Struthio camelus: one gene and its partners. The protein of the gene in region 1 purifies or fractionates together with the protein of each later gene. This does not show direct contact. Links are inferred from orthologs where the notes say so. Each region holds a gene or a part of one and is shown in the gene's direction. Other genes may lie near its edges. The genes, in order: VDAC1, RAB7A, RAB2A and BSG.

The links.
Region 2: the proteins of VDAC1 (region 1) and RAB7A purify together in Homo sapiens (affinity purification with mass spectrometry; 3 studies listed by BioGRID and IntAct, with this or other methods). This does not show direct contact. The link is inferred for Struthio camelus from reciprocal best matches to the Homo sapiens genes VDAC1 and RAB7A.
Region 3: the proteins of VDAC1 (region 1) and RAB2A purify together in Homo sapiens (affinity purification with mass spectrometry; 3 studies listed by BioGRID and IntAct, with this or other methods). This does not show direct contact. The link is inferred for Struthio camelus from reciprocal best matches to the Homo sapiens genes VDAC1 and RAB2A.
Region 4: the proteins of VDAC1 (region 1) and BSG purify together in Homo sapiens (affinity purification with mass spectrometry; 3 studies listed by BioGRID, with this or other methods). This does not show direct contact. The link is inferred for Struthio camelus from reciprocal best matches to the Homo sapiens genes VDAC1 and BSG.

The regions. Positions count from the first base shown.
Region 1 is NC_090954.1:3,701,520-3,708,658, reverse strand, and holds the start of VDAC1 (non-selective voltage-gated ion channel VDAC1), read left to right. Parts: upstream 1-4,137; 5' UTR 4,138-4,152; coding exon 4,153-4,236; intron 4,237-6,716; coding exon 6,717-6,786; intron 6,787-7,139. UniProt on the Homo sapiens protein: Non-selective voltage-gated ion channel that mediates the transport of anions and cations through the mitochondrion outer membrane and plasma membrane.
Region 2 is NC_090955.1:6,976,562-6,984,424, reverse strand, and holds the start of RAB7A (ras-related protein Rab-7a), read left to right. Parts: upstream 1-4,857; 5' UTR 4,858-5,035; intron 5,036-7,863.
Region 3 is NC_090943.1:135,022,985-135,030,962, reverse strand, and holds the start of RAB2A (ras-related protein Rab-2A), read left to right. Parts: upstream 1-4,960; 5' UTR 4,961-5,089; intron 5,090-5,384; 5' UTR 5,385-5,472; coding exon 5,473-5,518; intron 5,519-7,978.
Region 4 is NC_090967.1:7,635,588-7,643,079, reverse strand, and holds the start of BSG (basigin), read left to right. Parts: upstream 1-4,487; 5' UTR 4,488-4,726; coding exon 4,727-4,829; intron 4,830-6,415; coding exon 6,416-6,572; intron 6,573-7,492.

The DNA.
Region 1 (7,139 bases):
GCGGCCTTGGGTGAGGGCGGGACCGCAGGGAATTCGCGGCGCCCCTGTGGGGCTCTGGCGAGCGAACGCCTCTTAAAACAGGAATAGCCGTTGCCTTATGTAACGCGCGGCCCGCTCTTACGAAATTGTGGCCTCTCTCTGAGGCGTGGGGTGAGGGCGACATGTGAGGCGGGCTGGGTTTGGGGGCGCTGGAGCGAGGCGGTGGCACGTGAGAACGGCGGCGGTTGTGCTGCGCTCTTCCCGGGCAGCCGCCTCCTTAGCGCCGTCCTGTTCGCTTTGCCGGAGCAGGCCGCGCGCGAATCAGCGCGGCCGCTGGCTCCGTCACGGAGATTTAAAGGTCATTTGGCACCGGGGGTGCGTTCAGGTTTCTCAGTAACCCTCCTTTCCAGAAGGAGATATAATTTCTCGTATCCACAGGCAGCAAAGATGGTGTGTGGCAGCGCTTGGGAAGCCGGCCTGATTAAGCGCTGTTTCAGCGCTGACATCCCTTCCACCTTACTCGCTCACCCCTGGAATCTTAATGAGTTCCAGCAGGTTGGCAAGTTCATCCTGAGATGCACCAAAAACCCCAGCCCCACCCCAAGCAGCCTGTGATTTTTCTTTTTTACCGTTGTGTTTATGCTCAAAATTTATTTTTATGTTGGGGGGAAAAAATGTCAGTTTAAAAAAAATCTCAGGGGCTGAATTTTCCCCTGCCGTGAAACAAGGAGAGAGCACCATGCAGCAGGAGCAGCAGTAAAATTGCTTCCATTCTGCTTCATCACAGTCCTCCCTTGGAAGAACTCCTGCTGGAGGGCGATCAAGTCATTCAGTCTTTGGCTGCTTGTAAAAGGTAGTAATAAAAAATTCTGAAAGTGAAGCAGAGCTGACTCATTCTATTGACCTATAGCACGGTTGTGTCTCCAGGGAATGCTTATACTGAGCCAGCTGAAACAGATTCTATCTTATTTTCAGTTTGAGTAGTGAGGATCAAAAGTGTTCTGCAGTTCATTCTGCTTAGTGCACTGGACAGATGAATAGTGATCTATCCTCTGGAATTTCATCTGTGAAAGCCTGTCAAATTCAACAGTCAGCGCTGTTCTGCACTGTTGAAAAGATACCTTAAAATAACTGCTCCCCCAAACACTTTACGTTATGGATCAAGTATACCACCTTCCATCTTCTGCACCCTCTCTGCTACCTACCTGCAGGGAGTGCGTGTCGGAGGGTGACTCAGCGCGTAGGATGCTGCCGTCTGTTGCCATAGCAGCAGGCGCGGTCCCCGCTCTGTGACTTTCCTGGGGGATGCAGTCAGCAGAACGCTGAGAGTGAGGAGGCAAATCTCAGACGCACATGTGCTTTGACACTGCAGCAAAGAAAAACCATAAACCAGCTCCTTAGCAGAAGTTTCAGCGTAGCGGATGCTCCTTTTCTGTGGAAAGGGAGCAAGCAGTCAAAACGTGCTGGAAGACAAAATGCTGTTTTAATTCGTGATCCTCATTGATTTGATCTTGGGCGTTACCGTGAGTGGAAAATGGCCTGGAATGCGAGACATGCACCTCCTCGAGTGCTCTGCTGGTGTGTGAGTGTGACTCTTGTACCTTGCATGGTGCTCGTGAGACAAGGGAGTTATTGTCCCAATATTAATTGCCCTTATTCTGGCTCTAGCCTTGCTGTGAGTGACGAGAGCACCGTTCATTTCTTTGTGGTCGTATATTTGAAAGAAGCAGATAGTTAACCTGAATTTTTAATTCAGCTCATAGTGTGATTCTTTGTTCGTCCCTTACAGTTTTAGTAACTGTAGTAGCAAATTATATCCCCCAACTTTTGTTTTATTGAACTATCATATATAAATAACAATTAATGGTTTCAATGCAGTGAAGTTGTTCTTAATTTATACTCATGAAATTAAGAACAGACTCTTTCTTTAATTCCATAAGTATTAATTTGGACTAAAGCACAGTATTTACATTTACTTTAAGGCGGTTGTAGCCTAATAAGCTGTGAAGTATAGAGGAGATAAAATGTATCACATAAATAAATCTTTTAAGAACTAAACATGCTACATCATTTAACTAGTTTGAAAGCAAAGCTGTAGTAGGAAGGCTATGATCCTAACAATTGTCGTAACCATCAGTGGGACGTTGCATGGATTTACTAATGCATCTGCATGAAAGAAATTGCAGACTCCAGAGTCTTAAATTTTGAGTCATAATGGTGCACGGGTTATATGACTTTGCCACAGTAACAGGTTAGGGCAAAAAATGTTAAGTATTCTGGTCCATAAAGCAAAGTATTTACAAACTGTGTGCTTATACTAGCTTTTGAAAAGACTTGTGAATGTGATTAACGTGGTGTTTGACCTCAGTGGAGACTCCTCATGTATTTACAGTTAAGCACGTGTTTAAGTTTCTGCAGAATCAGGCGTCTGAGTCTGATTCAAAGCAGTTGGTGACTCGGACCAGTCTGTCATGGAATCTGAAAGGAGTGCAGCTTTTGTGTGTCGTATTCTGGATGAGTGCAAAAGCGCTGTATATTTTATTTATTGATACAAAATCTGTTGGTTTGGAAATGGCATTGCATAGGCCAGGAATCCGGGAAGGCATTTAAAAGTTACTTCATACCAAAGAATAATTCTTCTTTTAAAAAAGGAGATAAATAGGAAGTAACAAGATTTTTTGGATCTTGAGGCAGAAGGCCCTCGTCAAATTTCCTAGGAAAAATTGGACTAGAGTGAGGTCCAACTGAGACCCGATTGTCTTCATGGGAGTTTGACCCTTGATGTATTTCATTCTTATCTTTAATTTTTAAATAGGTCCTTCCCCGCATGTAAATATCATAAAGTTGATCAGTCTGTGTTGGGAAACTTTAACTTAGTCATGAAAAAGAGCGATCAAGCAAAAATTTGAATTTGAAGGATGAAGTCTCTTGTCACATCCATATAAATGCGGATCAGTGGGACAGCTAGTTTTTGTCTCGCCCCAGATGAGCTGGTGCCTGAAAGGAAGGCATGAGAAACCGAGTGCATGTGAGCTTGCGTGTGACTAGCGGCAGGCAAGTTTCAGCGCCAGTTCAAGGCGCAGGTTCGTGGCAGCACAGGAAGGGAAAGGGCACCGTGGTTTTCCCTGTGGTTGCAGCCAGTTCTTACATTTGCAAAGGACACCTCAGTGCTCTGCTGCCTATTAGACTAATTCTGAGTTAATATCCCAAAATTGTATTGTGGAGTAAAGACTTTGACATCTGTCTTGAAAATACTTAGAGTCAAATTCAGCCCTGCTGGAACTGCCTTGTATTCAATGCAGTTTTCTTCACTGGGGCTGGTTCTTGTGTCCTACAGCTCCAAAGAAAACTCCATGTTTTCTCCCTTTTACAGTTACAAATCAAGCGTTCATTTGGGTGGTGCTCATAACAACCACTTTGAGCTAAGTCCTTAGTTCAGGTTTTCTGAAAGTTGTTTTGCAGTATTTCAGTCATGATATGCACTACAGTACTTCCTACTCCTTCAGAACAAAATATTTTCCTTCCTGGAACGTGGGTATATGTTCTCCTTGGTCTGCTTTGTGCAGGAGTTGAGGTTATGTAGTCACTCTGAGATATTTGCGCTATTGGACAAGGATAAAATCAATGAAATCATTTCGCTCCTAATCTGAATTTATGTCCTGGGATTCCACCAGTGAAAAGCAAGGGCACTTGGCCATGTGGCTGTTCCTTGATCCTTTAAGAATTTGAATCCCTGTTAAGCATGCTTGTCTTCCAACCTGTGGTTGCACAGAATGTAATGAGTTTTGTTTTCCATCTGTTAAACAAGAGGCTTCTGAACATAGATTAGCTAGTGCAAACAGAAATAATTATTTTTGTTCCTTGATGGCAACAACAGTAAGGTTAACCACCACATACATATTTCATAGAGTGTTTTCCACGCTCAGCAATTTTAAATGCCTTGTTCCGTGTGCATTACATGATTTGCCTTACAAATAGCCTTACAATGGACATGGATTTAGCTGTCAATATGCTTCCTTAATTATAGTAATTGCAGAAGTGGAGATCTAGACATATCCCACTGTCCTATAACCACAGCCTAGACTGCTACAGTAGAGCAGCATGTCACAGCTGATTCATCTTACAAGCATGGTTGCCTCTCCCTGCTGATAGCCCGCTGCTAAGTAACGCCTTATGGCTGAGCACTGGGGACGGACTGCATTCTGCTGCACTTTGTACATCCGGACTCTGTGGATCAGTGGAGATATGCAAATATTGGTGAGAGCCTAATTTGGCTTTATGGGCTTTGATAAAGGAAAATTAGTCAGCCCCCTACCTCAAAAAAACCCAGCAGAACCCAAACCAAAAACATACAGTATTCAGTTTTCCAGAAAATACATTGATTTTTAAGAAGTAACTCAAAGTAACTGTTGATGAACTCAAAATACATCTGGTAGATTCTGAAATGCAGCCGATAGAAGGATGCATTATCTTTCAAAGCGATACTTATTTGCTTTTTTGATGTAAGGGTTTTTAACACTTTTATTTATTGATGATGCTAAGTGGAAATACCCATCAGAGCATTCTAATGAGACTGCGCTGCCCTGACTGGAAAGAAGCATTTCCTGAATACATACAGCCCCTGGTGGATCATCTCAAGATGTTCTGGGCTCTCTGTCCTCTCTTGAGTGCTCCCTTAGCTCTAACCCTAAGTTGGTATGATCTCCAACAGTGGCATTGTACTTTGTTTTTAGTGACCCTAATAAAAAGCAGAGGAATTACTTAGAAATAAATCTGTTAATGGTTTTTTTTTCTTCTTTTAAAGCCTATTTTTTTGTTTCCAGAACCCCATATATGACCAACTCTTAAAATGGTTTCTCCTGTAGAGAGTGATGCTTATAAACTTTACGTTCTGGCTTTCATGTTGGCACAAAACCAGAGACATTTAGGTCTTATATAAGCAGCTGAAACGGCTTTGGAATATGGAATACGTTGTGTTTTTATTTAACTACTTAACGGCTTAGGTATTTGGGGCTGCAACTTACTAATGAAATATAACTGGAAAAAATTACAGGACTCTGATGCCTCCGAGTACAGTCTCAGCAACTGAAGCTACATCATAGTATGCACCCTTGAATCCTACTTATATTTGTGTTCTAAGACGACTGTTTGCTTTGAGCCAACAGATCTGTTTTGCACCCTCTAGGATAGGGATTCTTCACTTATGCAATAGCGGGTATCGTGCTTTAACAGGCAACAGCTTCTTGAATGGAGTTGCCTGAGGCGTTAAGTGACTGCTGAAACTCCCTATCTGATAAACGTGGGGTGGTGTGCTTGAATGAAGAACTGAATCCAAGTCTACAGCCAGAGTAGATACTCTGAATACTGTGAGCACTCCCTCATGTTTGCAGACAGCTGGTTTGTTTGTGATTTAAAAGAATAGTTTTCTGCTAACGTTGAATAGTCTGGAATCAGGATTAGTAGGCAATTCTCAACAAAACATTTTCACTCGTATGTAATAAGCTTATTATTAATGCTCCATAACCAAAAAGTGTTTGCGAATGTAGAATTTTAGTGCAAAATCTGGTATTAAGAGAACCAGCTTTATGAGGATGATTTCTCCTTTGCTTTTTTATGAAATCTTGAACATGAAGAAAGAAGGTGTACACCACTTCGGATGGTTTGAATATGACTGGTTCCATAGAACAAATTACTGTACTTCAATAAGGAAGTAATTCGGTTTGTTTGTTCTTTCCTCTCAGGCTCATACTCTCCTCTGTATGCAATGAGAGTCTTGGTGGCTGAGAAAATGGGATGTGTTCTCCTTTCTTGCAGGAGGCCATTGAATTAAGAATGGTCAGAACCTGCTGAACGCGTGAATCTGAGGGCCTAAATAAGAGCGCAACATGAAGTTTGAGGAGGCTGCCCCTACTGGGCTCCAGTGTCTTTACCCTTGTGCTGAGACCTCGTTCCAGGTCTTGCACAGAGCTCTAATCTAGGTTTGATTGCTGAACAGGGGCAGCACCTACCCTCCTGACTAGCTGATTTCTAGATACTCACAACGTGGCATCCTTTCAGTCCTAATTTTTCTCAGTAAGCTCAGTTTTTCCCCTAGTTGATGAACAGGAAAAAAAAAAAAATCACTGACTAAGGAGAAATCTTAATGCATTAACAGCTGTACCAAAGTCAAAGAAAATTGAATGGTAGATGAAGAATGACTATTTGTTGCTTTTGCTAACGTGTTATCCAATTGCTGCTGTGAAGTAGGGGGAGATAGGTGTTACTGATGCTAGATGACTGTCCTGGGATTTCCAAAATTAAAGTTGGGTGACTTGGGGTCCAAATTCTTTGCAACAGGATACACAGATTAATTGCAAGTAACAGGAGAAATGCTTGCCAGAAATAGTTAACTAATCATTCATGCAGGTCTCCTGTTAAGGAAGCAAAAAATTAACTGTTTTGAAAGGCAGAAGAAGTTTCTTCTTTTTTATATTTATTCTGCAACCTGTTTCTCATCCTCAGTGGCAAATGCTTGTTAATCATTAACGCTGGCTAATGAAGGAAATCAAATCTCACTTTTCGCTATAGCTACTTTTTTCATATTATATTAAATTGATAGGTGGTGGATAGAAACCAGGCTGCCTGAAACTTAGGAATTTGGCTTAAGTTGCCGGTTGCTGAACTGGCTTCAGTAAACAAGTTTCCAAACACTGTAATTTCCCTCTCTGTCCTTTTTTGTTTTTGTTTTTCCTCCCCAGAAAATGGCTGTTCCACCAGCTTATGCTGATTTGGGAAAATCTGCCAGAGATGTTTTCACCAAGGGATACGGTAAATATAAATAAATTTGGTCTTTTACTGTTTACCTGATTCCTGAAACTGACTTGTTATGATTTTACTGCTTTTCTCTGACAAAAATTGCAATAATTTTTATTAGAGTTCAGAGAATTTTATATCACAGCTTCACATTGTCCTTACTGCCTGGAAAGGGAGGGTAACTTATTTTTCCTCTGACAAAATTCTTCATTTTACCCACAGGTCTGTTGTCCATTTTGAAGTGTGCTATATTTTGACTATTCCCTTGTATCATGAACAGGACCACTGATGTCAGTAGTTTGCTTATGAACAAAATGCTATTCAGTATGAGTAAAAACATTATTACCTAATTTGATCCTAGTGATATT
Region 2 (7,863 bases), on another chromosome or scaffold:
CATCCCCTGGATCATCTTCTCCACTTGCGTACTGAGAACAATCATATGAAATTATCCGGCATACCTCCAACGCAGTTGTAAAAATTAATTATCTGGTATTTAGCACCAGCTGTAAAAGTGGGAAGCTGTTGCTGTTGTCGGAGAACTTCTGGTGCCAGGGAAGCTGGCTGGGAGTCCTGCCGGGGACTCAGGTGTGATGGTCACACTTTTGTGTGACAGCCTCTTGGGATGAGAGTCATAAATAGGATTGAGGCACATCTCTGCCCCGAGTCCAAAATCCTGACCATCAAAGCACCCCTTTGCCTTGCGACATCTGAATTTTCTAAGGGCTTTGGCTTCCACCAATGCAGGTTCCAGGTAACTACAGTGATGCCAAATGGATAAGCACAAAGCCATGCGGTGGCCATCTGGCACCGTTCCCCAGCAAGATATGTTTGTTTCTGTGGCCTGTCTTACCAGCACTTGTCTAAAGGGAAGTCCCCTCCGCTCAACATATTGTCCTGTGACCAGAATCCCTCCATGTAGGTGGCCATGATTCAAGGGCAGACCAAGGGAGGCACTTGGACCCTCATGTCTCAGGGGGCGAGCTGGTCATCAAAGGGAAGGTGCCGGTATTATCTCCTCCTCGTAACAAAGGGATCAAAACTCTGCAGTGTTTTTGTGACTCTTGTTATTAAGCAGGGGAAAGCTCTGAAACCTCTTGGAGTCCTAAACCCTTTCCTTTCAGTGCCCGCGCCTCCTGTGTCTGGTATGACGGGACGTCTCAGAGTCAGGCTTTGCAACACTGCAGGTAAGCCCCCAAGCCTCATGGATCTCAGACTTCAATGTCTGTGTTTATACACTTTATCAGTGGTTTGGTTTTGAGATGTATTTCCAGCAATGTATTTTATCAATGAGTATAGAGGCTAGTAATCCCTTGCAATCTGTGCCCTGTTCTCTACCCATCAGCAGAAGCATGGATCAGAGACCTGCCATGAGCTAAAGGGATTACAATTGCTTCCTATGGTTGGTGTCTGGTGATCAAGTCTTGTCCAGAGCCAGCTTTTTATTTTCATGTATTGCTGCTGCTGTAACACTTAGAAATCAACTGAGGATTGCAAAGGTGAAAGCATTAGTAGATTAATGGAGTGGTATTTGTACTGCAAGCAGGAATTAGAGACGAGGGCAGGCAAAAGACTCTTGCCAGTGGAAATGCACAGGTGGTCATGCAATAGCAGAAGATTTTTAATGTACAAAATGCCAGCAGAGGCAGAGTGAACCTGCTTTAGACAAGAGTAAATCAAAGAGTGACAAAGCTTGGAATACAAAAGCAAGATATTGTATGTTTGCTGCATCTTAGTTCCTCTTTTTTATTTCAGTAAGTTAAATCATTATAATGATAATTTGAGGAAGCTGGTCTGGAAAGGCAGAGGTGGTAGAGGAAAGCATTGCAAAGCTAGTTGCGAGAGCACAGCAAGGATCACAGGACAGACAGTTTTCACTGAGCAGTTATTGTCACGATGGGCTGGTGCTCAATTTCCCAGGCTCCACAGGCAAGGAAAGATCCTGGGGATGTGTCCAACGAGGAGGGGGAAGGCCTGCTGAATAAGTATCAGAGGAATGAGCAGGGCTCACTCCAAGCTTTTAATGTCACAGATGGCCAGAGGTGGAGTGGCTGTGTGTCCATGGGAAGGTGGTGAGCGCATTATGAATGCAGGCACTTTTGGGAAAGTCACATGTTCACAGCTAATGTCTACGGTTTGCAGCTACTACAGCTAAGCTTCCGTGCAGGTTTTCTGCGTAGACCTCTCTGCAAGCCCTCCCATTAGCAACCAGCGGGTGTTCTTGTGTCCATGCTATTTCTATTCACAGTGTCTTTTTAGGGACTAGAAAGGGAGGGCCCATTTCGGTCAAAGGACAAGGGAAGAGATGGTATAAGGCATATCATGTTTTATTGTTTCTAATTGGATCAGAAAGATTGGTAAATAGAGATGATTTGTCACAAAGAGAACAAGATCAAAGCTGGAGATATTCTTACTTCCTGGTTTAGAGGGATGGGTGCGTGAAGTATGTTGAGGTTGCTACACTGGTAAATGTCTGAAGACTGATCGCTATAAAATCAGGGACCCACTCACTCGTGTCCCTCAGAGCGAGAGAACTAATTTCTTCAGAGTGATGTTAGTGATTGGGAACAACTGGCATTGAGTTTCAAACTGATCCATTTTTAAGAGGTTTCATTGGGTTTTGCTATTATGAAGGGGTCAGATGAGAAACGCTGTTTTCTTCGCAGGCTACTGACGCTAAGCTGTGCTGTCCAGCTGGGCTGGGCTGCTCAGTGCACAGCGTTCCGGTTTCTTCCAGGCCCTGGGTTCCTTCTGGTGGGAAGGTGTGCATGTGTATGTCCGTATGGCCAGGCAGAAACACAACAGCCTCCACTCAGTACATCCGTTTACCACTTTCTTACCATTGTCTTTTCCCTTTCATTCTGCCACTGTGAACGTCAGTGTGAGCTGTGCCAAAAGACGGGAGACCTACATGGATAGCAAGGACCTCTCTGCTGACATCGGTCCTCCTGAGCGCCAGGATTCATATGTACTTCCAGGCAGGCAGGATCTTGCCTCGTCAGTCTGAGGACATGCAGCATTTCCAGAGAGGATCAGAAACTCATCATGAGCAATTAGTCCATGACACCGCTGTTGATCATGCTAGCAAGTGACACAGGAGCTTGGTGTGAGGTTATTCTCAGGATAATAAAAATATGTAATAGATGTAGGTTTTACGCTACACTGGTGCCAGGATCGCTCGGTGGTAGAGAAGAAGGAAGAACTTTCACCCATGGTTTTTGATTGGCTTTCATATCATGTAAAAAGAAAGGAAAAAGGAAGCTTTCAGGAAAGAGAGCAGAGGAACACTGTAACTCACCATTAATGTCTGCTCCTAACAGCCCAGCATGTGGGGGGTCTCCTGCTAAGGGAACTATGCAGACCGGGGCAACCAAGTGCTCTGCCCCACCTGCTGTTGGCATGTCCACGTGTCCAGGGCCTGCAGTCCTGGGGCTGAGCTGAGAGGATATTTTCCTTCTCATCTAAAGAAGACATGCATCTTTGCGAGGGTTTTCTCCATCATTTCACCAAGCAAGGCTTTTCCTCTTTTGTTAGGTCCTTGTTTTAATTGATAACAGGTTCTTTTGCAGCTCTCTGCATTTAATGGAGCACCTTAAAAGCATTAACAAAGTAGATGTCATGGGCTCCCCTGTCTTGTGAGGAGAGTGCCACAGTCCTGCAAATATAGAAATTAGAAAGCAGTAATAAACTTGCCAGCATCACAGGAGGAGAACCCAGCAGCCCTGGCTCCCACTTGCCTTCTGTTAGTCTGCATTTCCACCACAACCTAAACCAGTCTAAGGAGCAATGACGGTGTCCTGCCTCACCCACGCCTTCCCTTGCTTCAGCTGCAGCCTGCATGAAGCCAGTTCAGTGCACTAAGCTGGCAGAGAAATTATCTTGTGCTCCTTTTCGTGTTAGTTGTCTGCAGATTTAATGCTGAAGTGACTCAGCGCAGGGTCAGACGAGAGCCGGCGCTGGCATAAGGAAGGGAGAGCGTGAACGTGTGTACTTGAATTTGGGCTGGGCTGTCCTTTGGAGCCGAGGTGGTTTTCACAGCAGTCAGTGTGGAGGCTTCCCTTGACAACAGAGACTCCAAATCGGGCTCAGTCCCCTACGCCACTGCTGTCGGACTTTAGTTCTAAAGTAGGACACTGTAAATAGCATGCCCCGTGTTCTCTGTGATGGATAGTGAAGGGATTCAAACCAGGCCCAACAGATTATAAGGATTTTAATAGTACATTTGCTGTGCTCTGCGATCATAATTCTGTTGATCTCAAACCGCTTTGCAAGCATTAATGAATCAAACCTTGCAGCGTCTTTCTGGGGTAAGCATTACTGTTTCCAGGTTACGCACGGGCAAATTGTGTTACCAATGCAGAGAAGGCAAGCAATTTGCCTAACGTTACGTGGCAGATTGTCTCAGGACAAAATAAAGACCAAAGAGGAAAGAAAAAGCACTCTGTTACCAAGCTAAAAGTCCTGCCTGGTGTATACTGTTCAGAAGCAATTTCCTTTTTTAATGAAGCTATAAGTGGCTTCATTACTTTTGCCTCTTCAACGAGCTCTAAAAATACTTTTTTCCTTGGTTGCTTTAGTCTTTGCGTTCCCAAGCTTATGGGCCAACTACAGCTACAATAATCATGTGACGTGGATGAACACAACAGAATATTCAAGTAAGCGCTGAATAATACAACACGCTCGCGGCCAAAACGCCGAGTAGGAAACACAGAGCGCGCTTGTACCACCAGGATGATGCTTCTTTTCTACAGCGAGGTGCTAGAGAGTTAGTTTACGTAGTCCCATTGCATCTGCCTTCGTTGCTGATCTTGGCACTGGTTGTTGCTTGATTAATCAACCTGAATGTGTCTTAAATTGCCATATTTTAATTTACAGGGTTTTTTTTTGTTTTTTTTTTTCCTGTGCTGTTGCTACTATCTCACTCCGGATCCCAGAGCAGCTGGGCCCGGCAGGGACCTCTGGAGACACCTGGTCCGAGCGCCCTGCTCACGCCAGACTGCCCGGAGCAGCTCGCCCAGGGCCACGTCCAATTGGGTGCCCAGTTATCTCCAAGGATGGAGCCTCCACAACCTCTGGGCAACCTGCTCTCCTCCCATGACATGCTGCAGCCCCCCCCCCCCCCCGCTGACGCCATTTGGCGGGAGCCGTCACGCAGCCAGCCGCACACGGAGGCTTCGGCGCCCCAACATGGCGGCCGGCCCGCCGTCACGTGACGCGCCGGCGCCGGCGCCACCGCCCCTTCCCCCTTCCCGTTGGCCCCGCGGCGGCGCGCTGACGTCACGCGCGCCGGGCGGGCCCCCGTGACCGGAAGTTGTCGGGGGGAGGCGGAAGTGAAAGCGGGGAGGCGGTTGGGTCCCATTAAAGCCGAGCTGAGGCGAGCAGTGGGGGGAGGCAGCGAGTCTCGGGCGGGCGCCGCGGCCACACGCAGCACGGTGAGTCCGGCCGCGAGCGGGGCCGGGGGTTCCCCGCGCACCGTCTCCCTGGGGCCTGGTTGTTGTTGGGGGGGGGGGTGGCGGCGGCGGCGGCTCCGCCCCGGTGCCGGGGGCCGCGCGGGGCCCCTCCCGCGGGCGCCGGGCCCTGCCCCGCCGCCGGGCCCCGGGCGCGGCCTCGCCGCTCCCCCCCCCCCCTCCTCTTCTCCCCCTTTCCCCTCGACGGGCTTGGGGCGGCCTGCGACGCCGTGCCGCTCGGGAGGACAAAGCCGCCGCGGGCCGGGCCGGGCCCAGCCGCCTTTCGCCGAACAATGGAGCCTCCCCTCAGGAGAAGTCTCAGGCGGCTGCCGGCGGTGGCTGGCAGGGAGGCGAGCGCGTCGCTGGCGGTGTGCGGCTCCGCTGGTGCTTCCCCTCGAAACGTGACGAGGGCTGGGGCCGAAAGGTGTCGTCGGCGCTGGTCTTGGGGCAAGCGCTGCCCGGGGTGGTCGGTGGGTAGCGTTTTTAGGGGTGAGCAGCTTGCCCCCGGAGCAGTTAACGTGATGGAACAGGCAGCTGAAAAGACTGGCAGTTTATTGCGAAAGTAGCTCCGTGTGTTTGTGTAAAGCCTGAGTCAGTTTTTAAGAAGTATTAGACTAGGTGTCAAAAGTGCTTTTTGGCTGTGAGTGTGTAGTGAAGTAAGTGATAAGTTACAAATCTGCAGGTCCATATAGGCTAATAAATATGGAAATATCTAATAATAGTACTTAGGACAACTGTCCTGTCTCCTGTAAGTAGAGGAATTCTTTTTAATAGTAGAGTAGCTATAAAAAGGCCCTCTTAACCTAAAGAGAGGTGACCTCAGTGTCTAAATGCATGAGTCTTACTGAATAACTTAATCCTTTGAGTTGCATCTAGACTCCTTAATATTGCCTTCTTCAAAAATAAAAATACTAGCTGACAAGTAGAGCTGTTGTAATATGTTTGTGTAGGATTTTTATATATAAACTGAGAGCACATAGCAGAACCAAGTCCTCCCAACTGTAAGCAAGCTGAGCTCTACTTGGCAATTACTAAGTTGGAAGCTTTAGGGCTTCCCATACTTGTCCTTGGCCAGCCAACTCTGTTTTTTGCCTAGTACTCTGCATCTAGTATTACTGTAGCAAGTAGAAATTGAGGTTGGGGAGTGAAGAGCTCTCTTTCTGGGGGAGAATGGTACCTAACCAGTTGTGCTACAGTACTTGGTTGGCTCTGACTTGAAGGCTTACTCGCAGCTATTTTATGTTTACAAGCTGCGATGATACTAGTAGTGCCTGATGGAAACTGCAGTTGGGCCATGCTTCCTCCAGGGCCAGGCTACCTGAGCAAATGTAGCCTGTTTTCTTAGTAGCAGTATTTGAGGTGAAAGTGGGTGGAGTCATTTGACTATTCCCTGTTTAAATAACCAGGGCCTCGTTGCTGTACTACTTTAGGAAGAACAAGTATACTTGTCTCTTTCCCCTTGTGACTTCCAACAGCTGACTAAACACATGACTCGTGCTAAGTGAACTAATGAGTAGACCCACCATGTCTGGCCTGAGTCTTTAGCATGCAAAGCAGCTGTAATACTGTTACTTTCAAGTGTGCTGCCGTTTATCTTCTGTGTGCTGTTATGCTAAAAGGCTACTTCTGGTGTAGAAAAGCTGTAAGATGAGGCTAATCTGCCTCCTCAATAAGGAAAACTGTTTTAAAAACCTGTGGCAGTCCCTTGTTCTCTTAACCTGCAGAATTAAATGTAACCAGTAAGATCCAAAATAGCAGTTATATTAAACTTGCCTCTTGCCTGTGGTGTCACTTGGTGGTCTAAGTCCTCAAATGCCCTACTAATAGTTCACCGTGGCCCTCTAGGAATGGTACTGTAAAATACGAAGGTGCCAAGCTTAAAAGCTGAAATAGCTGTGTTGCAGTGGCTACGCTGCAGGCATCCTTGTCCCTGCTCCCCCAAAGCCAATGGCTCAAACTGTGCAAAGCAGCATAGGCATGTTGCAACATGGATGAGTTCTTAGCTGAAAGTGAAATCATGGCTCTGCTGTAGGCTCTCTTCAGAACTCACCTAGGGAAGATACTGCTCTGCTTGGTTTACTACCCAGACTGGATGTTTAGGGACAAGAGGGCTACCGGGTGCAGTTTCTGCAGCATCTTAAAGCTCTTGTTTTAAAACTCCTGTGCTAGAAGGTCATGTGAACTACCTGCCAGAGCAAATCTCTGGCAAAGCTTGTCCTTGAGGAAACATGACAATTGCAATCAAACCATCTGTGCACAACTATAAATAGCCTTGCTTCTAACATGTATTGGATTTTATTCTGACTTCTCTGTGAAAATGAGACTAGTTTATGCAGAACTTAGCATTTGGCTGTAAACAAAATTGTTTGCGCTTGATTAGGATGCGTTTTCCTCCAGTGCTGCATCTTGAGATGGGTGCCTGGCAAGCCATGGTTTAGGAGTAAAGGCTGTGGAATAGGATGGTTGGATGTTTGCATTCCCTAAACAAGTTGCTGGGTCTCTGGGCTCACAGGTGTGTGCTGGTAGTTCTCCCTCATGTTATAATGGACCAATTTCTTGAGTATCTGGAGTAGCCTGGGCATTTGATAGCCAGGCACAGAATTCTCTTGTCTCGCCTGCTGCCAGTGTCCCCAAAAAGCAGTCGTCTGGGCTTCTCAACTGTCACATATACTGCTCTTAAGCTCTGGTTTCTAGGGACCAGCTGGTACTAAGATCCCCTATAGTACAGCAGGGGGTTTAAAGCTTTTCCTCTTGGTGGAAGAGGGTCAAGATGAGAACGTGCTGAAATGCTGAACTGGGCTTTAAAGTCAAGC
Region 3 (7,978 bases), on another chromosome or scaffold:
GTCTTCCTGCAGGATCTGCTCTGTATATACTCATGAGGCATGGTCTGATTCTTGACATTTATAAAAATAAAATAAAATAAACTATATATTGCCCCCTTACTTATGTAAAATACAAACCTAATCTTCTAAAAAATTGTTAAATAAAATTCACAAATAACATAGCGTGGCATAAAATTAACATTCAGAAAAAGTGCAGACTGAGTAAGTGCTAGATACAAGCAAATAATAGTTTCTACTCCACATCTGTATAAATAAGCTAATAGCGCAAAGAAACGCTTTAAAAATTTAGGCTAAATTGAATAACAGGTTAGCAACTGACTTCTGACAGTTAAACAGTAGTACAATGCAAATTATAATTAAAGTGTGGTTCTGTTCAAGTGTCATGCTAGGGTTCTGCTTTTGTGTTTCAGTTCCCACACAAAATTTTTCTCTAACGGTTTGCTCTGCAGAGTAACTGGAGCTTGGAATGCCTCCATGGCTCTTTCTCAAAGAGTACTACTAGTAATAAGGATCTTGCAAACTTTAAGGCTTGCTATAAACCTCAAACTTATGATATAGAACAAAGAGCAAACTCTAGTTTTCTCAAGTGTACTAAATTTGCCACAATATAATCCTAATCCTATCATCTAAGACAAATATATTATCATATTTCTAAAGAGCTTGTTATATAAAATCACTGATAGATAACACGTATTACCGAAAATAACATTAAAATAATCAAAGTAACCCTCTGCAAACCCTGTGTTTCAGTATCGAATAACTACTGCTTCTGTTATATCTATTGACTAATAATTTTTTTAATAATTCAGAATCAGTCCATGGTAGCCTTCTATTAACACTTAATGTTTTAATGCTTAAAAAGTAAAATATTCATTTGTCTGGATAACAGAAATTTGTACAGATGAGAGGTAAAAATTAAGCAAACACAATGCCTATTTACTTACAAGCCTCTTAATAGCATTTAAACAAATGTTAAATACAACTTGCAGGAAAATCAGTTTTGCATTAAACTCCACTTGGAGGCATCTGCAATTTGTGGAACTGCTGATAGAATGGAATAACTTAGGCATACAGTCATCTTATCCAGCAGCAAATTAGCTTGTATTTACTATGGGGTAGCGTAAGCAACAAATTTGTGTTTGTTATCCTTGCAAACCTCTGCCAAATACTGTCCAAGCAGTAGGATCCCAAGTAACTGAAATACTGCATAAATGTGCGCACGTAAAACATTTAAAGCACACCAGGTTGAGCGGATAAGCAGAAGTGGTTTGGCTATCTGTTCACTGTGCAGTGCTGACCAAAATCATAGCTGACTTTCTGACTAGCCAAGCAGCCAGCAAGCCAGCCAAGTGGCCGCTGCCCCACTATATGCTGCAGGCAAGCTGGCTACCTCTCTGAGTCACCAGGGTGCCGAAGTAGGTAAGGGTGACTTCCCTCTGAATAGAAGGGTGTCAATCAAATTAGGAAGCTGTTAAGCAGTAGTGTTAAAGAGATCCTTCCATTTCACTGGACTTCTGTAATACCTGTATTTTCTCCCCATCAGTAACCTGAAATTTTACAAAATGGAAATTCCGTTTTCTGATCAGAATTATTCTAGATAGTTTTGCTTGTGTCAAACTTGTGGCCTAGAAGACCACAGAACTCTTCCCAGAAAATTAAGAAACCAAATCCCATCAGTGAAGCAAACACACTTGAAACTTATTACATTGGGAGAGAGATTGCTGTGGAGAGATTGGCAGGGCTTGTCCAGCCCTCAGAGACTAATGCCCTGTGTGGCTCAAGCACGCAGGAATCCCGACTACTACCACCGGAGACCTGGAACGTATCACACGAGTGAGTACAGGACTGTGGAGGCAATGGTGAAGGACACAGAAGTCCATGTGGTTCTCCTTAATCCTGCCAGTTTGGAGAGAGAGGCTCCGTAGGAGAGGGCTCATGCTGTGAGTCAACACCTGGCTGTGTGACTGGCGTTCCAGACTGGGCTTTAGCTATCACAACCACAGGACCTTCTCTGTGGTGTGAGGACTGGCTGGGTAGAGGCAGGAACCATCTGAGCAAGCTGGCAGGAGCATTATAGTTCATGTGGCTGTGGGATAAGATGGGGCAGGGAACTCATTTGGCCGAATGATAACACAGAAAAATGTAAAGTTTAGCCACGGCAGTTCCCTGATCCACAGATGACACAAACAGTGCCAGAACGAGGCAGGAAATAAGAGCAGGTTAGTGGGGGCAGAGCTGCACGATCTATGTTGGCAGCAATCTCAACTTATGCTGGATAAAATCTGGTCAACTTAGCAGCCTAAGGATGCCTGGCTCCCTGTAGCTTTGTGCCCCACGGTTGATGGGCACCAAACCAAAGGTAGCATAAAGTTCTTACCTACAGATGCAGCACTTAAGAAGACTCATTTCAATATGAACTTATTTAATAACTGACCTCATCTACAGATTTTCCTTTAGGTACTCTTCTCCATACAGATGACAATTTTTATGAAAATATATTGGGATAGGGAGGACAGAGGCAGATCCTGTATGCACAGCTATGTAAAAACAGAAGCCTAGTTTTCACAGATGAGGCAAAAAAGCCTGTTCTTCTAAGAAAACTCATCCTACATAGGAATTGTTAGTTAATGAAAAATTCTGCTAGAACAATCACTTCTAATAAGTAAAATAATGGGGAAGTGGGGTTTTTTTTCCCCATGGGGAAAGTCAAGTCTTCCAAAAGAAGCTGAAGAAGTTTTTCCACACAGTTTTGTTCAGTTCATGTCTTCAGGTGGAGACAAAGTGCCCGGATTTCCAAGATAAATGCCTTAGAGTCACACGCGCAGTTTCCAATCTGGTTTGCTCAAATATAACTTACTGACTGAGGAAAACTAAGTTATGCAATATGATCAGCTTCATCAAAAAAAAAAAAAAAGGAAAAAAGCTTTAATGAACAAAGTTCAACAGGTTGTAAAAAATAAGTGATAAAGAGACAGGATGGATTTCTCAAGAATAGCCAATGATCAAACCAACCCAATTTGGTTGTCCTTCTCTGACAAGCTACACGGCAAAAAGGAAGAAGTGAGTGTGACACAACTGGACTTCAGGAAGGCTTTTGATACTCTTCTGCATCACTTTCTTAAAAACAAACTAAGTAAAATGCAACAGAAGAAATCACTATGAAGTACACATAAGGCTAAAAAATCAATTATAAAGGGTTTTTAAACTAAAAGAACATGTCACATGTGGCTTTCCAGAGCTCTGTCCTGTCCAGGACCTATTCAATATTTTCATGAGTAACCTGGGTAACGGAATGGCTGGGATGGAATGACAAAAAAATTCAAATATTCTTGACGAACTGAGCGGACGTGATCAAAACAGCTAGATTTAGTAAAAGGAAATGCAATGCTTAGTAAGTAGATATCAAATGTATAGAGACATTTGGGTAGTAACTGGCTAAATAACGTCATGACAGGATAGGGATCTAGGACGAAAAGCAAACTTCTTGAGACGCTGTTGCAAAAAAAGCAAAATCACATTCAGCACGGAGCAAGACTGTAGTTCATCCAGTGCTGGAGATACTCACGTGATGTCATTTTAGGGTAATGAGGCTGGTGTCACGGACACATGAGAACTCCTGTTTTGACTCCCCACTTTACAAATAATGTTGAGAAAGTGGGAGAGGTACAGATGAGAGAAAAAAAAGGAGCAAACAAATGATGGATGAAGGAAGGTTGAAAACATTAATTTTTCATGTGGAAAAGCAATGTAGATAAAACTTTCATAATATGTAAAGGACTGCCTTTCCTTTCATGGCAATCATTTGTCTGCTGTGTTCACAGAAGAAAAGGTAATAACAAAATAAGCTTAATTTTGGATTTCAGGAAAATATTTAGAAAGTTCATGAAATATGAAAACCAGATTTGGTGTACTGCACAATCAGCTTGAATTGAAGGTTCTTCAGAGCAGGTTAGACGCACACCTGTTAGAAATGGTGTAAATCAATGTTGTCCAACTTCCTGACCTGAAGTGCCACATACACAAATCGTCATACAGTTAAAAGCTGCCAGACTGGTACGGCCAGAAAGGTGGCCCTCTGAGTTCACACGAAGAAAATGCCAACGTCTCTTCAGCAGTTCCACCAACGCACAGTAAACTAACAGCTGAACCGCAGGTATCATCCGCCTTAGCATCCTCCTGGAGAGCCAAACAGCCTTCCCCTCCGTATGGAGCCGTCACCTCGGCACGACCCGTGAGCCAAAGCGCCTTTGACTGCTGAAGAGCCAAAGGTCTAGGTGTGCTGCGCTCTTAGGGCACATGTTCAGACTAAGTAATAACTCAGTTTCTTCCAACTCACCAGTTCCCTGTGAGCTTCAAGAAGTCCTCAACAACAGCTGTGAACGCAGGATAACTTCCTGCTTACTGCTTAGGCCAAGCCTTTTCTGGAAGCTCTGGGCCAGAAACACCCCAAGCGCTGGGACGCCCCCACCCAAAACCCCACCAACGCTGGGTTTGGTCCACAAAGCGCTATCGCCCCTTCCAGTACTTCAGCATCACCTGGCAGGGATGCAAACCGAGAGCTACAGCGGGACGCTCGAGGCCTTCGAGCAAGGCCTTGGCTCAGACGGGCTCCTGTGCGGCTTCTCTTCCTGCAGGCCGGCTTTCTTTTCCCTGGCAAGAGTCCTCTAGCAGAGGAATCACCAGGGAGCCCGCCTGGGGCCACGACGGCCCTCTTCACAACAAGCCGCTCTCCCGGGAAGGCGTGTTTTGGTCACGCAGCCCTTCCCTCAACGCCAAGGAAAACAGCAACCCGCACCGGAGAGAGAAGGCAGCCTCTCCCCACCCCCGGGCAGGGCACGGCCGAGGGCACGGCCCAGCAGCCCCGCTCCCCCGCCCGCCGCCTCCCTCCCTCCCTCCCTCCCGCCGCCGGAGCCGCGGGGCGGGGCCGCGGGGCGGGGCGGGGCGGCGGAGCCCCGCCCCCTCCGGCTCGCGGGAGGGAAGGAGGCGGCGGCGGCGGCCGCGCGCACGCACGTGCGCGCACGCGCCGCCGCGCCGGGCAACGGCTACCTCAGCACTTCCGGGTCGGGGGTGGGGCCGAGCGAGGAGGTTGGTGCGTGACGTTGCCGGAGGGGCTGGGGGGCCGCTGAGGCGCCTGTTATTGTTCTCGCCGCCCGCTCTTCCCGCCGCTGCCGCCTGCCTCCTCCGGCCGCTTTGGGGCGCGGAAGGAGGGAGGGGGAGAGAGAGAGAGAGAGAGAGGGCAGAGGCGCGGGAGCGAGCGGGCGCGCGCGCGCGGCGCCGCGCAGGGGCGGGAGGGAGGCGGCGGGCGCAGGTAGGAGGGAGGGCGCGGCGGCCGCGGAGCGTGTGCCCCCGCCCGGCGGCCGTTAACCGTTTGGAACTCTCCGCAGCGCGAGCCCTGACAGCGGGGGCGGGGGGAGAGCGCGCGCGCGTCACGAAGGAGCCAGCGAGAGCCGGAGAGGCGGGCACCGGGCGGCCATGGCCTACGCGTATCTCTTCAAATATATCATCATCGGGGACACAGGTGAGCGGCGGGGGCGGCGGGCCCGGGGCGGGCGGGCAAGCCGGGCCCGGCTCCCCGCTCCCATTTCCGCAGTGTTGGCTCCGTCGACGTGGTGGTTGTGCGCGAGGAGGCGGCTCCTCCGCCTCTGCGCTGGGCCCCGCCCGTGGCCTCGGCCTGCCTCTCGGCCGCCTTGCGCCCCGCACCAGGCCGCGGCCGCAGACCTCGGGGTCCCTTGACAGCCGCCTCGGGGCCCGGGGACGGGCCGTGGGGCAGGCCGGGGTGTGTCATACACCGGGCTGCGGCGTCTGAGCGTGAAAGGCAGGGGCGGAGATTGGGGTGGGATGGGGGCTGCTGTCATTGTAAAACTCGCGGCTAGGCAGCGGCCCCATATTTACCTCTCTGCAGCCCTGAGGCCTAAGAGGTGCTGCTGGCTTCCTAGGAATTTTGTGGTGAGGCAAAGACCAGTGCCGTTGAAGGTACCTTCAGACTGGGCTGCAAGGGTGCCGTTTCCAGCCCGGGCTGGAGGTGCAATAGCAAGCTGTTTAAGTGTCAGGATATGCTGTCAAAGGGAAATTTAAAGGCCTAGTTCTTTCCTTCTACTTCACAGCAGCCATTTTTTGACTAACTGCTTTCCCAGATGCTGCAAGTTGCATCTGCGGTCTCTTCCTCCCGCTCACCTATTTTCTTGTCCATTTTTAAAAACTTGCTCTCTTCTATTTGTCATTGACTGCCATGTTGCAAATAACATTGCTTAAGAATGCTGCAGGCATAACCCTATGCTGATAGGAATTGCTGTTTGATGCACTTTTGCCAACATATTCTATGCTTCCTTAGCCTAGTATGGATATAGATGGCATTCTTTCTATCACACTTTTGGCAGGACAAGGTAAATAACATAGGTAGCTATTGTGCTTGTGCATTGTGCATCTTTCTCATTGTCTTCTTCATACCCGAATAAATACCCTCTGTAATAAATTTGGTGACACGGTTGTCTCTACATGCTATTCTAGGGATACCTGCGTAGTTACACTTCATTATGATGAACCAGTTTATCTGTTGCTGGAGTTTGTGGTACTGTAATTATACACTATAGTTGCATTACGCATGTGGTTGTTAAATAGCCTGGATTGCAACTACTGTGTATTTTTTGTTGTTTTTTTAAAATTTTTTAACATTTAAGCTCTTCAGCCTTTTTTTAAAAACTGTAGTACAAATAAATAGTAAGAAATATATCATGGTTATAATGACCAGCTTGAAGTATTTAATAGGCCATAGATGATAAAGAAGACTACAGATTGTTCTTGAGTGTTTACGTGACTGACAGTTCATAAGCCACGGTAGAGGACAGGAGATTATGTCAGTAGAGTCAAGGGAAGTAAAAGGAGGTTTTTCTGCCCAGAATGATGCAAAATGGTAGTACAAAATTCAGGGTCATAGCGCTTCAGAACAGTTGGCCTTGTATTCTGGTGCATTTTAAAAACTGTAATCATCAGAGTGGTAGAGAGGGCAGCAAACAGTTGCTTTGGTACATTGATGATATGCAGATTAATTTTTTAAATGAAATATCCTCTGGGCAGTGGTTTCTGCTGACCCTTCTGCACCATAATTGAAGATTACTTCAGTTACTTGAAATGTGAAATACAGAATTGGATGTATGTCACTTCTGAAGTTGTTTCTGCTTCTTAACCAAATATGGGAATTGTAAGATCTAGAAGAAACACACTGAGCAGAAAACAGCTCACAAATTTACCAAAAGTGAAAAACTTCTGTAGCTTTTATTCAAAGTTGTTATAGGAAGCTAATTAAAACTAGTGCCACCATCGCTGGTAAAGTGCAATAGATTCGCCAATAGTGGAAAGTTGGTTTTGCTTTTATTTAGATCTCCTATGAGCCTTTTAAGTATTCTAATATAGCTAGTATCAAAGAGACAATTTATGTTGTGTACAGTTTGCTGCCAGAATGACTGTGATGGTTTAGGTGTTGCTGTTCCTCTGCCGAAGGCAGATGCATTCGTAGCTGTACTGATGGAAATTAATGGACTGTATGGGGACTCGCCTGTTCTGTCCCAGTGGTGGTCTACCACAGCACTGCAAGCAGTGAAGATATGCCGGTGGCCTTGCATGCCCTGTAATTTCCATAGTGATCAAGAAATTTGTCTTTGGGACTTGATTTAGAGTCTTTGGAAGTGGATCAACTGCTTGGTGACTCAGCAATTAGTTGTAAACAAACTCTAGATGAAAAGTAAGACAGCATCAACCCAGGACAGATGTTGATATTTAGCTCATCTTCCTTTTTCAGCACTACAAAACAAAGTGGGTTATGCAAGCAATAAACAAAACAACAAAAAAAGTGTACAGTTATACAAGACACCTGCGTGTGTATTCTGAATTGTGATTCCAAATGCTTTCATGCACTTCAACGCAGGAATTCAGTATGATCTCAGTCTCTTAAAGTGATAGCTACAGAAACTGACTGTGTAAG
Region 4 (7,492 bases), on another chromosome or scaffold:
AGACATCTGGAAAAGGTTATTTCTATTCTTGGTCTGAAACGCCTTGGAAGCAAGAGTTCCTTCACAGGCCAATCTGTTCTGTAATATGTGTACCCTGCCCTTCTAGTGATGTAGATTCTCTTAGGCTTGGTATTTCCAGCCAAGCCTTTGGTCTCAGTCTGTAGGGCAACAGTCTGTAGGGCTATAATGCTTTGGATGGTGGAGTACTAGGTTAGATCACTTCACACTGGTTTGCTAATCCAAATGTTACTTCTGGAAAATGGCTGAACTTAAAAACACAAAAACCCCCAATCATGTAGCTGCTTATTGGTCATCTGTCTCTTGAAGTCCAGCATTCTCTCTGGGCAGTTGTAGAGACTTGTCTCTATTTTACTGTGCCTTTTGAGGGTGTCTCTTACCTGAGCTTTAGCTCACCCTTATTTTGTAGGGGTGTTATTGTTCTGAGATCCTCTAATGGTAACAGAGTTGTGTTGGTCATTGAAGTCCTGCTTTTGGCGAGTGTGTAACAATGCTCTATTTTTGCTGAAGTAAACATAATAGCGGACTGTAAGGATTTTCCTTACCTCTCAGCTGTGTTTAACATTAGACTTCCATCTAGAGAGCAGACTTCTTGAGAGATGTTCCTTTTAAACTGCACTGTTAAAACTCTTTGCAGCTTGCAGCAGAGAACAATTGCCTAAGTTGTAGAGGCCCAAGTCTGTAGGTAGGTGCATGCTTGGACTCTGCTCTCAGATCATGAGAGGACAAAGTATTCCGACTTCCTGAACTGACTGAAAGCACTTGCCTTTGACTTGGTTATTTAGTGATTGCCTGGTTATATGAAACTTGAGAGAGAGTAGGCTTTATAGCTATTAGTGGAAATGGCAATAAGTGTCAGAGCTTCATATATCCCCTTCCTACGCTGAGAAACAAAGGTCATGCCATGGATGAGTGTACCCTGCAGGAAGACACAGGTTTCTGCCAGGTTTAACTGCACTGAGATCTGTCTGTGCTTGTTGGGTGCTGCGAGTGCCATGAGAGCTCCTCCCTCTGCTCAGTGGGGAGAGGTTGTTTTTAGTTTGAAGGTGACTCTAGAGAGTGTTATCTGGTCATGTCTGTCTTTGCCACTGTCCAGCTTGATCGAATACTGCCCGGTCCCCAGGAGAATTGCTCAGCTCTGTGATTGGCTCTGTTCTGTGAGGAATGCCTGGCTTTTGTGAGCTGATTTCAATTTCCAGCCCAACACCATTTGAAATCGTTTGAATGCCTCTGATCAATTCCAGTGGGTTGATGCTGGCTGTACTGGTATGTCCTAGGACTCAGCAGGTGCTTTCCCCAGCCTTGAGCGTCCGAGACTTCGATTAGTCTGCTTTGTGTTGGAAAAGCAGAGAGGGGATATTAATCCCATGTGAAAAGGGAATGATACTTGTTATTTTTATCATTTGAATTCAAGGGTGCCTAGAGAGGCTCAGCAGATCCACATTACTATCTGAGCTGTGCATGAAGTGCCTTCTAATTTGGAGCAAGTAACTTTGAAATATCTTATCAGTGCACTATAATCAGCTTGTATCTGTAAAGGAAACCTTGATCACTAGCAGCTCCCACTTTAAATCAGGCTTCAGTTAAAATGGGACTGATTTTTACAAATACTGTAGTCAATTCTGTGACTTTCAACATTAGGTGATTGGGAGGGTTAAATCACAGGCTTGTGATTTAAAAACTAAACTGGCATGCAAAATTGTCAGGAAACTCACCCACCAAAATACAGCACAGCTTATCCCACACCAGTATGAGTTTAACCTTGGTGGGCTGTTTAACTTTTTTCTAGCTGCTTAACAGGATTCAACTTCTAATATGTTCTAGAAGTGAAGCTCAGTGTGTGAGGAAGTTGCGATTAATACTTCCATATTTCTTTTAGAACCCCTAGTGACCTTTTTAAAAAAAAAAAATCAGGAAGATCATTCTAGTGTATCTAGTCAAATTCTGTAATACAGAGTCAGTTTGAGGCTTTAAAAACCTCTGCCAATATATTACTGAATGGTGCATTTGTGAATGTAACAGTTGATACTGTTGTTAGTACGTGAAATGGCACCAGACTTCTTTTTTAGCCACTGAGTTATTCTCAAACAGACCTCTGCTTCAAAATATCTCAGTTTTAATTATCAGCCTTCTCTTAAAACTGTCTTGGTCTCAGGTGAGAGTCAGCTCTCTCCTCCCTTGTCCAAACCTGTCTGTTCTTTCAGACTTCTAAAGCTTCAGAGTGTAAGGCTAAATTTTCCTTTGAGAAATGTTTAAACAGTGGAAATTATTTATGTAGGCCTCTGAAAATTACCTAGCAAACGTCTCTGTTTTGCTTGGATTTGAGCAAACTTGGTTTTATAATGCTGATTTATTCCCACGCTTGCAAAAAAAGATTTTTTTTATTAAAATGTCTTTGGGCATTCAAAAACAAAGAAATCCCCCAACCCACCTCTCTTAAGCCTGTATGACATGATACGTGTGTGGAGGGCATCTATATAATCAGAGCTTTCTTAATACTTATTACTGAGTAAGTTAACTTCTTGGAATGACTCTTGGTATGGTAGATACTTGGCAGGTCTACTGTTGGTGTCTGAGTAGTGCAGTCTGAAATCAGTGTACAGGAAGTGCATGTTGCAAAGTTAAGTAGCTCTGCTTAAATCTTGCTGAAATTGAGTCACATAAGTAACCTTGACGCAAATATGATGTCTTTTCCTGAAATGCTGTTGCTAGAGACTTCCTTCCTGCCCCCCCGGGGGGAGGGGGGAGAAAGCCCTGCTTGGGCCTTCTCCTCCCATCTGTCTTGTAATGATTTGGACAATCTTACATCTGGGAGCTGCTGCTCGTAGTTGATAGTGCTGCATCTGGCTAATAGCCCTAAAAATGGTTGGCAGCTCTGCTTTCTGCAGTGCACTGACTTATGGCTTTACCTTTGAACTGTCTGTTTTCAGAAGTTGAACCCTCTGGACTCTGAGCACAAGAGCAATTTGAAAAATACTGTAGTTTTAGCCTGTAGCTGTCTCTCATGTTTTTTTAATCTGTGTTATTAATTTAGCTTGCCTGGGATGAAGAAAGTATAATTTCGTTGTTTGTATTACAACGAATATTACAGATTTCTTAACCTGGCTTGTGACATCTTGCAGACTGCAAGATGCTCTCAGAAATTGCAGCTGTCTTGAATATTGTATTTAGAAGTATCTGACTTGCATCTTAGTGAGCAGGATGACTAAGCAAGCATGTGCGAACGTGAAGGAGAACAGATCTTGCAGTGCAATGAAGGCTGGCAGATGAGGCAGGCAAATGGTACCATAAGTGTAACAATGCCCAACATCATCTAGTCACCACGTAGTGACAGGATGAGTGCCAGGCTCTGGCCAGGTCTCAAATGAGATCAACTGACTTTGGGCGCGTAAAGCTCAGGGAGGGACTGACATGCCCCTCTCTGCGGGCGAGTGGGGAGCTATGTCTCTGTAGTGTGAACGTTTGTATGCACAAAATGTTCTGACCTTCAGTGTGTCAGAGTAGGGAGGCCAGTGTAGGATTGCTAGTTCACCAGGCTTGTGTGGCTGCTTTCTTTGTGTCCTTTTTACAGTGGAACGCATACTAGATGATGCTGTCTTGCTGCTGCCAGCCTTTTACTGCAATATGCAACAGAGATTTTGGCAGACCTGTGGACCTCCTTTTCAGAATATAGCAGATACTAAAATTTTGGGGGGACAGGAGAGACTGGATAAGCTGTTGGAACAAAAATCCATTGAAGTTTACATCCTGAGCTGAAAATGCTTGGAGACAGGGAGGAGTGTGAAAGAAGTATTGCAGGCGTGTCTAGCTCGTCGCCTCTGGAATCTGGGTACTAGGCTAGAGAGATACTTGGTCCGACCCAGTGTGAGCATCATGTTTGTAATGCAGACTGTGACAGAAAGGATGCAATTCAGTGACTGCTGGTTAAGTAGCTGATAACTAACATCACAATGGAATTCAATCAGTATTGCAAATAGGCTCTCTGTATTCCCAGACAGAGACCATTGAGCAGAACTTAACCAAGGTAATGAGGTAACAATGATCAGGGCTGGTAACTTTGAGCTTGAAACTTAATTCTGTGGCTGGAGTAGTTATCAAACTTCCACTGACGCAGCTACAGCCCACTGAATGCAATTCTTGAATATCTGGAACGTTATCATTGTTCTTTCTCTTCCTGCCTCGTATTTCTCTGCTCATGCAGCTAGTGTTTGTAAGTGTGGCTGTTCTGCAAGCTCTGGTTTTGCATCAGAGTGGCGAAAAGTGTTGTTGGCTGTAGACACGGCATGGGGCAGTTGACTGTGTAGCTGGAGATAGCTTATGGATTGTAGAGGGGAGGGAGCTGGGAGAGTATGCTACTCTGAAGAGTTATGTTCCATCTTCTCAGTGGCTGAAATTTTTTCCTTGTAGAGGTTGAATTCTTGCTTTGCACTAACACTTTGCACTAATACCTCTTCAACTCATAGCTGGTTTTGTAAAGTCACCGCTGTCTCAAAAGAGACTGACTCAGGACAGCGTCGAATTGTACTGCGAGGCAATTGGCAATCCTATTCCTGAGATCCAGTGGTGGTTTGAGGGAAGCGAACCAAATGAGACCTATGCTCAGCTTTGGGATGGTGCACGGCAGGACCGTGTCAAAATCAACGCCACCTACAACCTGCACTCTACCAGTACCATCTACATCGCAAACCTCTCAATCGACGATTCGGGCATGTACGAGTGCCGGGCTAGCAACGACCCTGACCGCAACCACTTGTCGAAGAGCCCCAAAGTCAAGTGGATCCGTTCCCAGGCTAACGTTTTTGTCATCGAACGTGAGTGGCCATACTGAGGCCTTGGCACTTGCTCGGACACTGATGTCTTGAGTCTCTTGCCATGCTCACCCCTGCACCTGTGTCCTGTGACTTCCTGAAAGTTCCCTTCACCTTCCCATCCTGGCTGTAGAACTGAGACTCCTACCCTCCTGTGATCTCCCTCACCACCTGTGACTTGATCCGAAGTGGCCCTGCTCAAAAAGGGTTGTGACTTCCCAACCAAAACACCATGCAGCAATCCTATACCTTTTCCAGAGCCCAAGACAGTAGAACATACTGCTTAAGTGCCTCCGTGTCCTAGTGCCGGCTTGCAGAATTAAGAATTTTGATTCTGCTGGTAGACTCTGCCTTAACCACCACTGACAAACCAGCCCTGCCCTACAGCTCATTACAGCTTCTGCTCCTGTGAACGTCTTGCTTTAAGCTCGCTTTCTTGCTAGTGTTACAAGCTGTGGGGATCAAAATCTGCTTTTAGTTTCTTGTGAAGCAACCATTTTTGAAATGGCCGTGTCTGTGTGTGACACTGAATGTGATTAAGTTGCTTGTACTGTGGAAGTGACCAGACTCCCTCTACTTGCAGAGCTGAAAGTTGAACTCTTGAGCTAAGAGGCTGCTTCTTTCCCAATAATAGAAACCTGAACTAGTTTGAGGGAATTTAACATCCTGCTAAGATCCTGTCGTGAATCCTGAAGTTAATGGAGCAAAATTACTAACATTTTCCTCAGCTTAAATGTACTAGGAAATACAAAGTTCCAGCAGATTTTTCTTCCGGGGGAATTTGTTGGGTAGGAGGAGAAACAAAATGCCTTTCAGCCCTGTGTAAAAATTATTCCTTCCAAAAAAGTGCAAATGGGTGGGAGGGTAGGAAACCTAAAGTGTCACAGGGCTGTATAATGGCTCTACTAATGACAGCTATTTTCTTGGACTTACCTCTTACAAGTAGAAGTGTCTGAGTAATCTTATGTTGCATAATGGAGATCTAGGACCTTTTGGAATCATGGCTACATAGGTTCTCATTGGAATAAATATAGCTATAAATTCTTGAGCTGTATCAGGTGGTGTGCATATTGCTTGCATACTGTCATATTTGTTGCTCCTGACGAAAGTGTCTTGACTGCTGTCCTCAATTATGCTACCTGGAGATGTTCAGATCTGCTCAAATTCTGGAAGGTGCTAACATGCAGCGAGTGCTAAAATGGTTCATGAAACCCTTCAGTGTGACCTTTTTCATTGCTTATTTGAGCACTTAGCTCCATTGCAATATATGAACTGCACCCATTGTAGAGATAGCAGGAGGCTCAAAACTGTTGAGTGCATGGCAGTGATCCTGACCGTGGTGGTAGCAGCTGTAGGGTCAGTATCCTATTGTTGCTAAGTGCCATCAGGCCCTAGTCATCGGGCTTTCAACTCTGTCCTGTGCTGGTATCATCAGTCCTGGTAGGAATCTGATTTAAGAAGGTAAGTAGAAAGCTATGGTGGAGACAAGGAGCTGTATTTTTTGGGAAATATTTGCCTTAAAGGTTCTTGGGGAGGTGTATAACCTCTGGAATAGCACATGTTAACTTCAGCTGAATTTACAAATGCAGGTCCAAACATCGTAACTCTCGTAACTGTCAATTCTGGCAAACTGGTCCTCTCCTGTAACATGACTACGCCTTACGCTTCCATTGAGGGCCATGAGTGGATGAGAGGAGACAAGATACTTCAAACGGACACGGAATCGAATGCTTTCACCAGTTACACGTAAGTGTCGGGGGCAAGGCCAGATAAGAATATGTCTGTACGCAAGGGACAGTTATTTTACCAGAAACGGCTAATGTTTCATATCAGTTGAACCTAAACCGAAGGACTGTCACATACAGTCTTGCATAAAATATAAACTTTGGAACTTCAGAACATGAGCAAAATAAAGGTTTGCTAAGGCCCAGCATTTCCTTTTTGGGGAGGAGGGGGCAGAAAGGAGGAAGAAGGGAAAGTGAATAGGCCACCATGCCCTCTTAATAAATTGAAAAGTACTGCTACTTAAAGTTTTCCTGCCCATGTTCTGCCGGGCTAGGTGAGTTTCTATTGGATTCAGCAGCACCAGGTAGGTGCCAGGTGGCTAGGGCTGCCTGCTTGGCTGGCCTGCTGTCTGGAGAACATGAGCACTTGGCTTTCTGCAGCATTGACATCAGTGCAGTGAGATGTTTTCCCAGAGCTTTAAGGATCTGTGGCTCTGGAAAGGAAATGAGCTCTCTGCTCCCCCAGAGGCCATGTGTGGAACAGGAGAAATGTTATCTGTACAGTTGGCTTTTATGTATGTACCTCAAGTATACTTTCAAAGTCTAGCCTGTCCCTGTAGAACAAGCTGAGTAGTTGCCTGCAAGTTACAGTTGGAAACTGTTTCCAGGCTGTAGCTGAGCAGAAACTGGAATACCAACCTTATTGTAACAGTGCAGTGAGCTTTCCACTTTGATTACAGTCAGGCCTGGCTGGCACTGGCCCAGCAGCTGGAGAGGCATCATGTCCTTTTGTGTGGCTGTGCCGACGTGCCTCTCTCCCCATAGCAACAGGGAGCTGAACAAGGATTAAAGTATTTATAACCCAGCCTCCCTCGCGTGACCTCAATTCCTTAGCTGAGTGGTTTTTGGGAGTGGGAAGCTCCATGCACAGCAGAGCTAACA